2 linked regions of the Danio rerio genome follow. The protein of the gene in region 1 purifies or fractionates together with the protein of each later gene. This does not show direct contact. Links are inferred from orthologs where the notes say so. Each region holds a gene or a part of one and is shown on either strand. Other genes may lie near its edges.

Region 1 (3,829 bases):
TTTAAAGTAAGCACTGGTGGTTTCTCAGCAGTTGATTCAGGTGTGTGTGTTTGTGTTTGATATGAAGGTATTGTATGTCATGGAGCTGCTGCAGGATCAAGAGAAAGGCCGTGCCAGTTTCACTGCAGTCTCAGAGTTTCTGCTCACACACCCTGTGCTCAGCTTCGGTGTTCAGGATGTTTCTCGTGCTCGCCTGCGCCATACTGAGGTCCTTCCTCCTGAAGAAGAAAGCGAAAGCATGACAGCAGGTCGGTTTTTCTCTTTGTTTTCATGTTAGCTTCATGTTCAAGTGAGTCATTCAAATGATTCTTGTGTGGTTTAATATCTTCTCACAGAAGGAAACCAGGGAACCTCTGAGTCCAGATCAGGAATTCAGATTAAACTCTACTGTGTGCATACAAAGTGAGAATTTCTTATCTAACAACAACTCTACTGACATGAAGTTTGAATTTTAAATGTGTAGCGTTTAATATGTTGTTATAACCTTCTTATGACACAGATCACTACAGGATGTGCAGATCTGGTTTCAGCCCAATCAGGGGGACTCCTCTTCACTCTTCATGCCTCAGTCTGGATCACAGGATGGGTTCAGTGAGTATGAAGTTTTATATGTTTATATTTATGTTCCCTAGATTGCCAATGCAGAATCTAAAGGGATATGACGAAAAATATTTTTACCTGCGGTTGTGGTTTGAATTTTTGAATTTTTTTTTCACACTTAAATAATTTAATTAATAAATACTTTTAATGTTAAACTTTAATATATTGCACATTTTAATACCGCAAAAAAAGTATTTAGGAGTATTTTCATGTTATTGGTTATGTATGTATTTTTAATGTTTGTTTTGTTTTTAAATTTTCCAGGTTTTTCTGACCCGCTGGCTGATCTGAATGTGGAGGCAATGAGCTCTGACAAGGAGTCTGGCGATAGTGGTTCACAAAATGACCTGAGTAAGATTCTGCCTCTTCCAAGTCCCGCTGACTTCATGAGTCCAGCCCCATCAGCCTTGCCCAAACTCATGACCCCGGATGCCTTCATGACACCCAGCGCCTCTGTAAGCTTTTACTATCTTAGCGTCATCCTTTAGGTTCCTTCAGTGATGAATACATTCATCATGGTTCTTGTTTTTTCAGATGCCCGCTTCTCCTGGCAGCAGTGCTAGCAGTCTGACCATTGTCACGGCCATGAGCAGCTCAGACAGCGGTGCAAGGTGGTGTATTTAACTAAATGTTTTCATAGTAAAACTTGATTAAACCTTTTAAATCTCATATTAACTTCACAATGTGCAAAAAATGTCATACCGTTTGTCATCTCCTGCAATCAAAATGCAATATTTTTTTTTCTTTTAGAGGTGGAGATGATCTGACTCAGAGCCCTAAAATGTCTGTTGAATGTGTCAACAGCAGTTTCGCCAATGCAGGCAGTCCAAGATCCAACTCCATCCTCATCTCAGGCCTTGGGGAAAACATCCAGGTACCAATGGAAATGTCATTCTCAATGTTGCAATATAGCGTGCCTCAGTAGGTCTTATCTTTGTTTCAGTGTAAGAAAGATGTTGCTTTACACCAGGTGGTGAGATCTACTTTTCTGCAGAGTTCCGCTTCAAGCCTGGTCACACAACTAAGTTAACTAAGTAGGATTTAAAGGAGCATTTGGTAAATAAAGAGAGGTGCATTTAATCAGGGTTGCAGCTAAACCAGGCGTGTCCAAACTACGGCCCGCGGGCCATCTGCGGCCCGCAATCAGTTTTGTGGTGGCCCGCGAGGCTTTTTATAAATAATAATAGAATCTGGCCCGCTATACAAAAATGAACGTAATTCAATAAATAACCACCGGGTGTCGCTATTACATGCATTCAATTAAGCAGTAGTTCTTGTTATGATCTATCTATCTATCTATCTATCTGTCTGTCTGTCTGTCTGTCTATCTACACACAGTTGAAGTCTGAATTATTAGCCCCTCTTTGATTTATTTCTTCTTTTTTAAATATTTCCCAAATGATGTTTAACAGAGCAAGGACATTTTTACAGTATGTCTGATAATATTTTTTCTTTTGGAGAAAGACTTTTGTTTTATTTCGACTAGAATAAAAAGCGGTTTAAATTTTTTATGAACCATTTTAAGGTCAAAATTATTAGCCCCTTAAGTCTTCAGAACAAACCATTGTTATAAAATAACTTGCCTAATACCTTAACTTGACTAGTTAACTTTATTAACCTAGTTAAGCCTTTAAATGTCACTTTAAGCTGTATAAAAGTGTCTTAAAAATATCTAGTCAAATATTATTTACTGTCATCATGGCAAAGATAAAATAAATCAGTTATTAGAAATGAGTTACTAAAACTAATATGTTTAGAAATGTGTGGAAAAAAATCTCTCCGTTAAACAGAAATTGGGGACAAAATAAATGGGGGCTAATAATTTAGGGGGGCTAACAATTCTGACTTCAACTGTATATATATATATATATATATATATATATATATATATATATATATATATATATATATATATATATATATATATATATATATATATATATATATATATATATATATATATGCGTGTCTGTGTGATGTATGTAAAATTTGGCCCGCGACAACGTTTGTTTTTTTGCATCTGGCCCTCGGCCCAAAAAGTTTGGACACCCCTGAGCTAAACTCTGCAGAAAGGTAGATCTCCAGGAACAGGGTTAAGAACCACTACTTTACACACTCCCTGTAGTACCAACACAGTACTTTATAAAAGTTTGGGTATGGTTTTTGAAATGTATGTCGTTATTAATCAAGGATGCATTCGATTTATAGTTCACTCAAAAGGAAAAGGTGGCTCACCATTTACCAAAACCTTTGGGTTTGATTTCCAGCTTTCTTTAAAATATTTTTTGTTGTGTTTCACAGGAAAAAAAATCTTAATCTGCATTTAGTGCCAGTAGAGGCTGAGTAAACTTAAATACAAAAGATTGCTTGAATTATCCCTTTAATTCAGTTAGTGATAATAGAGTTTATTGTTGTTACAAAAAAGTGGCATGTTTAGTAATGTTTTTACTTTTAAATAAGAGCTTTGTTATTTCATAAGCAAGTGTTGTCCAAGTGTACCATTGAATAATAATATTATATTTACTGAACATTTACTAAAAGGAGCAACAGAAACCTAACTGTTAAACACATTTTTATTATGCCCTATTTTTTACAATTTTTATCTGTAAAGATTTTAAAGAAATATTTTTAAATGTGAATCCTTCAGAAAGGCTAACTTTTTTTACCAAAAGTAAACCTAAACTGTTTTAGATTTTTAGCTTATGTATTATTTATTGCTGATGATGTCTTTTTGTTGTTGTAATTAAATTAATAATAATATACATATATAATCGCTGAATATATGTGACATTTAATGAATGTTGTAAATTTGATCTGGTTTTTTTATGGAATAGTCAGAGAAGCTGATCAGACTTCCTCACTCACAATATAAACTGTCAATCCTTCAAATTTGATTCCAAATCATTTACCAATTCTTCTGTTTATCTGGCATCCCTCTATCTCCACTTTTCCATTTAAAATCCCAATCTGGTTAGGCTTTCGCTCCCCCACTGGTTCTTTCTTCATCCCTCCTTCAAGAAGCCTCTCTGCTCTGCGAAGCTGCTCCTTATTCTCACCGACTCCCCCTCCCTTATTTCCCATCTCCTCCTCCGCAGGTTTCCCCTCCAAACCCTCCTCTCTCTCTGGATCTCCAGGCAATAGATCCCATGGTTGTCCCACAGGCGTCTCCAACAAGAGCTCGCTCACCGGATGTCATCTCATCTGCCTCTACTGCAATGTCCCAGGACAT
Region 2 (4,269 bases), on another chromosome or scaffold:
AACCAACGAAACAAAAGACAAGCACAGTGATCTTGTAATATTTATTGGAGTTAATTTTTAAAAGATGGTAGTGAAACGAGAGTGCTGAGCTTTAAGGTCTCCTGCAGATGATTCCAAGCATCAGCAGCAGAAAACTGAGAAGAGTTGCGACCAAATGAAGTGCGAACGTTGAGTATGCAAAGGTTAATAAAACTATTAGAGCGCAGATTTCGACATGTTTCCTGAATTTAAGAAGTGACTGTAAATAAATATAGTGGTGTTTTTCCCAATAAGAGTTTTGAAAATTAACAGAAACCAATGAATTTGTTAAATTTGAAGCAAAGAATAATTCAGTAAAGAATACAGCTGACAGTGATGAATATTAAATGGCGCAAGAGTAACAAAACTATTTGCTGCATAGTAAATAACATTCAGTTTAAGAAGAAGAGTTTTTGAAGCTCATCTGTAAATTACATCCCCATAATCCAGAATTGGTAATACTGTTAATTTGAGCTGCTTTGAGGAATGTGTAAAGGAGGATTTGTTTCTGTAAAGAAAAACCAATCCAGGCTTTAACCTTTTACATGCTTTCTGTCAGCTTTTTTTAATTGAATAAATTAGTATTTTTGGAGATTTGGTGTTGCCGCCTTTTATTAATATTTAATTTGCACCTTTTGCGTTTTTTTGGCTGAGCACCCAGTTAAGAGGGATGTGCGTGCTTTTGTACAATTTTTTAAAAAGTAGAAGTACTGACTACACTTTTGTAATCAAGTAAAAGTAAAAAAGTAGCGCCTCAAAAATTTACAAAAGCAAAAAAGTAAAAAGTACCCGTTTCAACCACAGTCCAATGACATGCGGTATAGGTGAATAATAGGTAACTAAACTGGCAGTAATGTATAAGTTTCTCAGTGCTGGGTTGCCGCTGGAAGGGTATCCACTGTGTAAAACATATGCTGGAATAATTGGTGGTTCATTCCGCTGTGGCGACCCTGTATAATTCAGCAACTAAGTTTAAGGATAGTAAGTACCATAAAAAGCAATTAGTCCTCACATCCTATCGATACATTAATAAACTAACTTACATTTCTAATTCTTATGTAAAATTTTTGTTGGCAATTTTATGAAAGCAGCATCACACCCTGTAATAGGGTATGTGCCGAGCTGGTGTTTTTATTATACTGATAAACTTAAGGTGACCTGTTATTGTAATTTTTTTTTTCCCAACGTATATGGTTCCTTTTACAGCATTGATGATGTAATGTAATTAAAATACATTCAGTTAAATAAACTTTGGCATTCTTTTAGTTGATCAAGCTTAAAACGAGACAAAAAGCCGTTTACTCGTACGTGCCCATCAGAATCGGCCGGCATGTACAGTTGACCGGAAGCGTTTAACTCAGGTTACTGGCAAATTCAAAGTCCTATTAGCATGCTTCGGCATATACCCTATACTTTGCAACAACATTGCTCTAAAAGTCTGCTCATGTATGATCATCCTGACTCAAATTCACAGCGTTCATCATGTACTTTTGTGGCTGTTAGATCAAAAACAACAGCTGCTATTTATGTTCATACACTCTAAAATAATTCTGTAGGTCTGTATATCTTTATAAATAATTACATTTTACACAGTATTCTGTCCTATATATATATATATATATATATATATATATATATATATATATATATATATATATATATATACACAAGGCTCATCATATTTGACTGCAAACAATTTTTTTCCATTAGGCTAAAGCTGCTTTATTCTCTTTAAAAAGTAGTTCTCATACATAACCTGTTAATTCAGTGTTTTTATAAAGTAAATAAAGGAAACAAATGCATAAGTTTTTTTTTAATAAAGTGTTTGATTGTTTAAGTACTAAATGTACAAATCTTTACAAAAAAATCACAATATTTCCCTGTATTACAATAAAAGACCAGAGAAATCCTGTGCAATATGATCGGAAGGTGACAAAAGGGTTAAGCATTTTTAAACAGATATCTGTGTAAAAAAATGTAAGAAGTAAAAGTAAAAAGTTGTCAGAAAAAACATGTAGTGGAGTAAAGTACTGATATCAGAAAAATCTACTTAAGTACAGTAACGAATGTATTTGTACTTTGTTACTTCCCATCTCCGGAAGTAAGCGTCTATTCACACCACTAATTCATAAAAAAGGAAAGGTTTTGTAATATTTTTAAATAGCATAACGAGGCTTTTTGACTTCTTTTTAACTTTTCACTTCCAAAATGATTGGTTAACACTGACTTCCAAAGTTTCCCTCTGCTATAAGTCAATAACGACCACATTATTATTATTTTCAAATTAACTTAATTTGTGTTTAACAGAAAAAGGGAACTTATGCAGGTTTAGAAAAAAAGAGAGGTTGAATAAATGATTCTTATATATTCATTAACAAAAATCTAACAAACATTAACAAAATTCTACAACTCAAATTACATAAAGGGATTTCAAAATACCACACAAGTGTGGCTTAAGACAAATGAGACGAAAGTATCCATCCTAAAAACATCAGTAAAAATGATAAAAGACATAATAACACAGCTCTCTTTTATAATTTACCTGAAGGTAACCTCAGGCACAGTGCATTTGACTCCATTGTGGAAGGGGTTTCTGAGAGAGATGGTCTGACTGGTCTGATCCACTGAAGAAATCTCCCCTTGGTAGACTCCTAGAGTTGGTCCACAATGGATTGAAACAAGATTGCCAACCCAGTCTAATGCCATTTTGACCAGCTGAAATGAGATTCAAAGACGCTTTGTTAGTTGTCATGATGGTTTTAAATATACAGGTAACTCTTGAAGCGTTATTGGGCGTCTGAAGCATGAATACGAAGAATGTTTTGGAAGAATAAGTATTGAACGTTAGAAAGGAATATGCTAACGTTAGCCAGCTACATGTACAGCACGCAACGGGCTTATAAGCTAATTTTTCGGTTTTATAAAAATTGTAAAGTGAGTTTCTCACCTGTTTTCAAGGGCAAAACCTTTCAATTATACGGATAAGTTGTGTACTGTGATAGATTTGGATAAACTCTTCTAAAGAGCTCGACTACGCGATCGGCTTCTTCTATGAAAGTTGACTGAGTGAGGATCAGATTTGAATCTGTATTTACTGCCGCTTACTGGGCAACCGCCGAACTACATTGAGTTGCTAAAGAAGGCAGATATTTATTTTTTTGAAACTGTTAAATGATTATTATTCATTCATTTTTGTTTCTTTTCTTGGTCCCCTTATTAATCTGGGGTCGCCACAGCGGAATAAACCACCTACTTATTCAGCATATGCTTCATGCAGCGAATGCCCTTCCAGCTGCAACCCAACACTGGATTATTTTTAACAATTTATAACTTGCAGTTATTTCTCTCAGAATATTTTTACATTCTAAAATAACACATTTATATATTATTATGGTTGTGTTCATTAAGAAATTTAAATCCCCGTGAAATTAAAACTTATCAAATGATTTTATCAGCTCACATTGCTAGTTTTGCGGTGAACAATTCATCTGTGCATGTCATTAAGAAAAAAAAATCGTAATTTGTCATTTTTATCCCGTTTCTCTAGGAACTACGTCACATTACAAAAAAAAGCTTAAATCGTAGCTTCTGGTTCATGGGGACTACATTTTTTTAAACTGATTTTTAAAAAAGGTTGTCACTCACTCACTTTCCTTGTTTCTTTATTTGCCACAGCGGAATGAACCACCAATTACTCTGGCATATGTTTTACTCTTGCTGCCGCAACCCAGCCCTGAGAGTGTAACTCATGCAGTGCCCTGAGAATGTTACTTTAAAAAAACTAATTTAAATTTGAATAAATACTAAAAATAGAATTAAAATAGCAAGATACGCTTGAGATTTAGTTTTTTGATTTTTGTTAAAATTGTTTTGCATAAAATGTAATTTCTACTCTACTAGATGTCAACGGGTGTATTGAGATCATAATGCTGAAAATCTGTGTATACACAAATACAAAAATGTCAAATAATCTTGTTTAAGAATTAATTTTCTTTTCGACCTAGTCCCCTCATCAATCCGGGGTCGCCACAGCGGAATGAACCGCCAACTTATCCAGCACGTTTTTACACAGCGGATGCCCTTTCAGCCGCAACCCATCTCTGGGAAACATCCACACACACTCATTCACACACACTCATACACTATGGACAATTTAGCCTACCGAATTCACCTGTACCGCACGTCTTTGGATTGTGGTGGAAACCGGAGCACCCGGAGGAAACCCACGCGAACGCAGGGGGAACATGCAAA

The links.
Region 2: the proteins of edc4 (region 1) and edc3 purify together in Homo sapiens (affinity purification with mass spectrometry; 6 studies listed by BioGRID and IntAct, with this or other methods). This does not show direct contact. The link is inferred for Danio rerio from reciprocal best matches to the Homo sapiens genes EDC4 and EDC3.

The regions. Positions count from the first base shown.
Region 1 is NC_133193.1:23,287,225-23,291,053, reverse strand, and holds part of edc4 (enhancer of mRNA-decapping protein 4), read left to right. Parts: intron 1-67; coding exon 68-248; intron 249-335; coding exon 336-402; intron 403-499; coding exon 500-591; intron 592-864; coding exon 865-1,055; intron 1,056-1,134; coding exon 1,135-1,211; intron 1,212-1,350; coding exon 1,351-1,474; intron 1,475-3,575; coding exon 3,576-3,829. UniProt on the Homo sapiens protein: In the process of mRNA degradation, seems to play a role in mRNA decapping. Component of a complex containing DCP2 and DCP1A which functions in decapping of ARE-containing mRNAs. Promotes complex formation between DCP1A and DCP2.
Region 2 is NC_133200.1:21,946,764-21,951,032, forward strand, and holds the start of edc3 (enhancer of mRNA-decapping protein 3), read right to left. Parts: upstream 3,077-4,269; 5' UTR 2,966-3,076; intron 2,734-2,965; 5' UTR 2,725-2,733; coding exon 2,561-2,724; intron 1-2,560. UniProt on the Homo sapiens protein: Binds single-stranded RNA. Involved in the process of mRNA degradation and in the positive regulation of mRNA decapping. May play a role in spermiogenesis and oogenesis.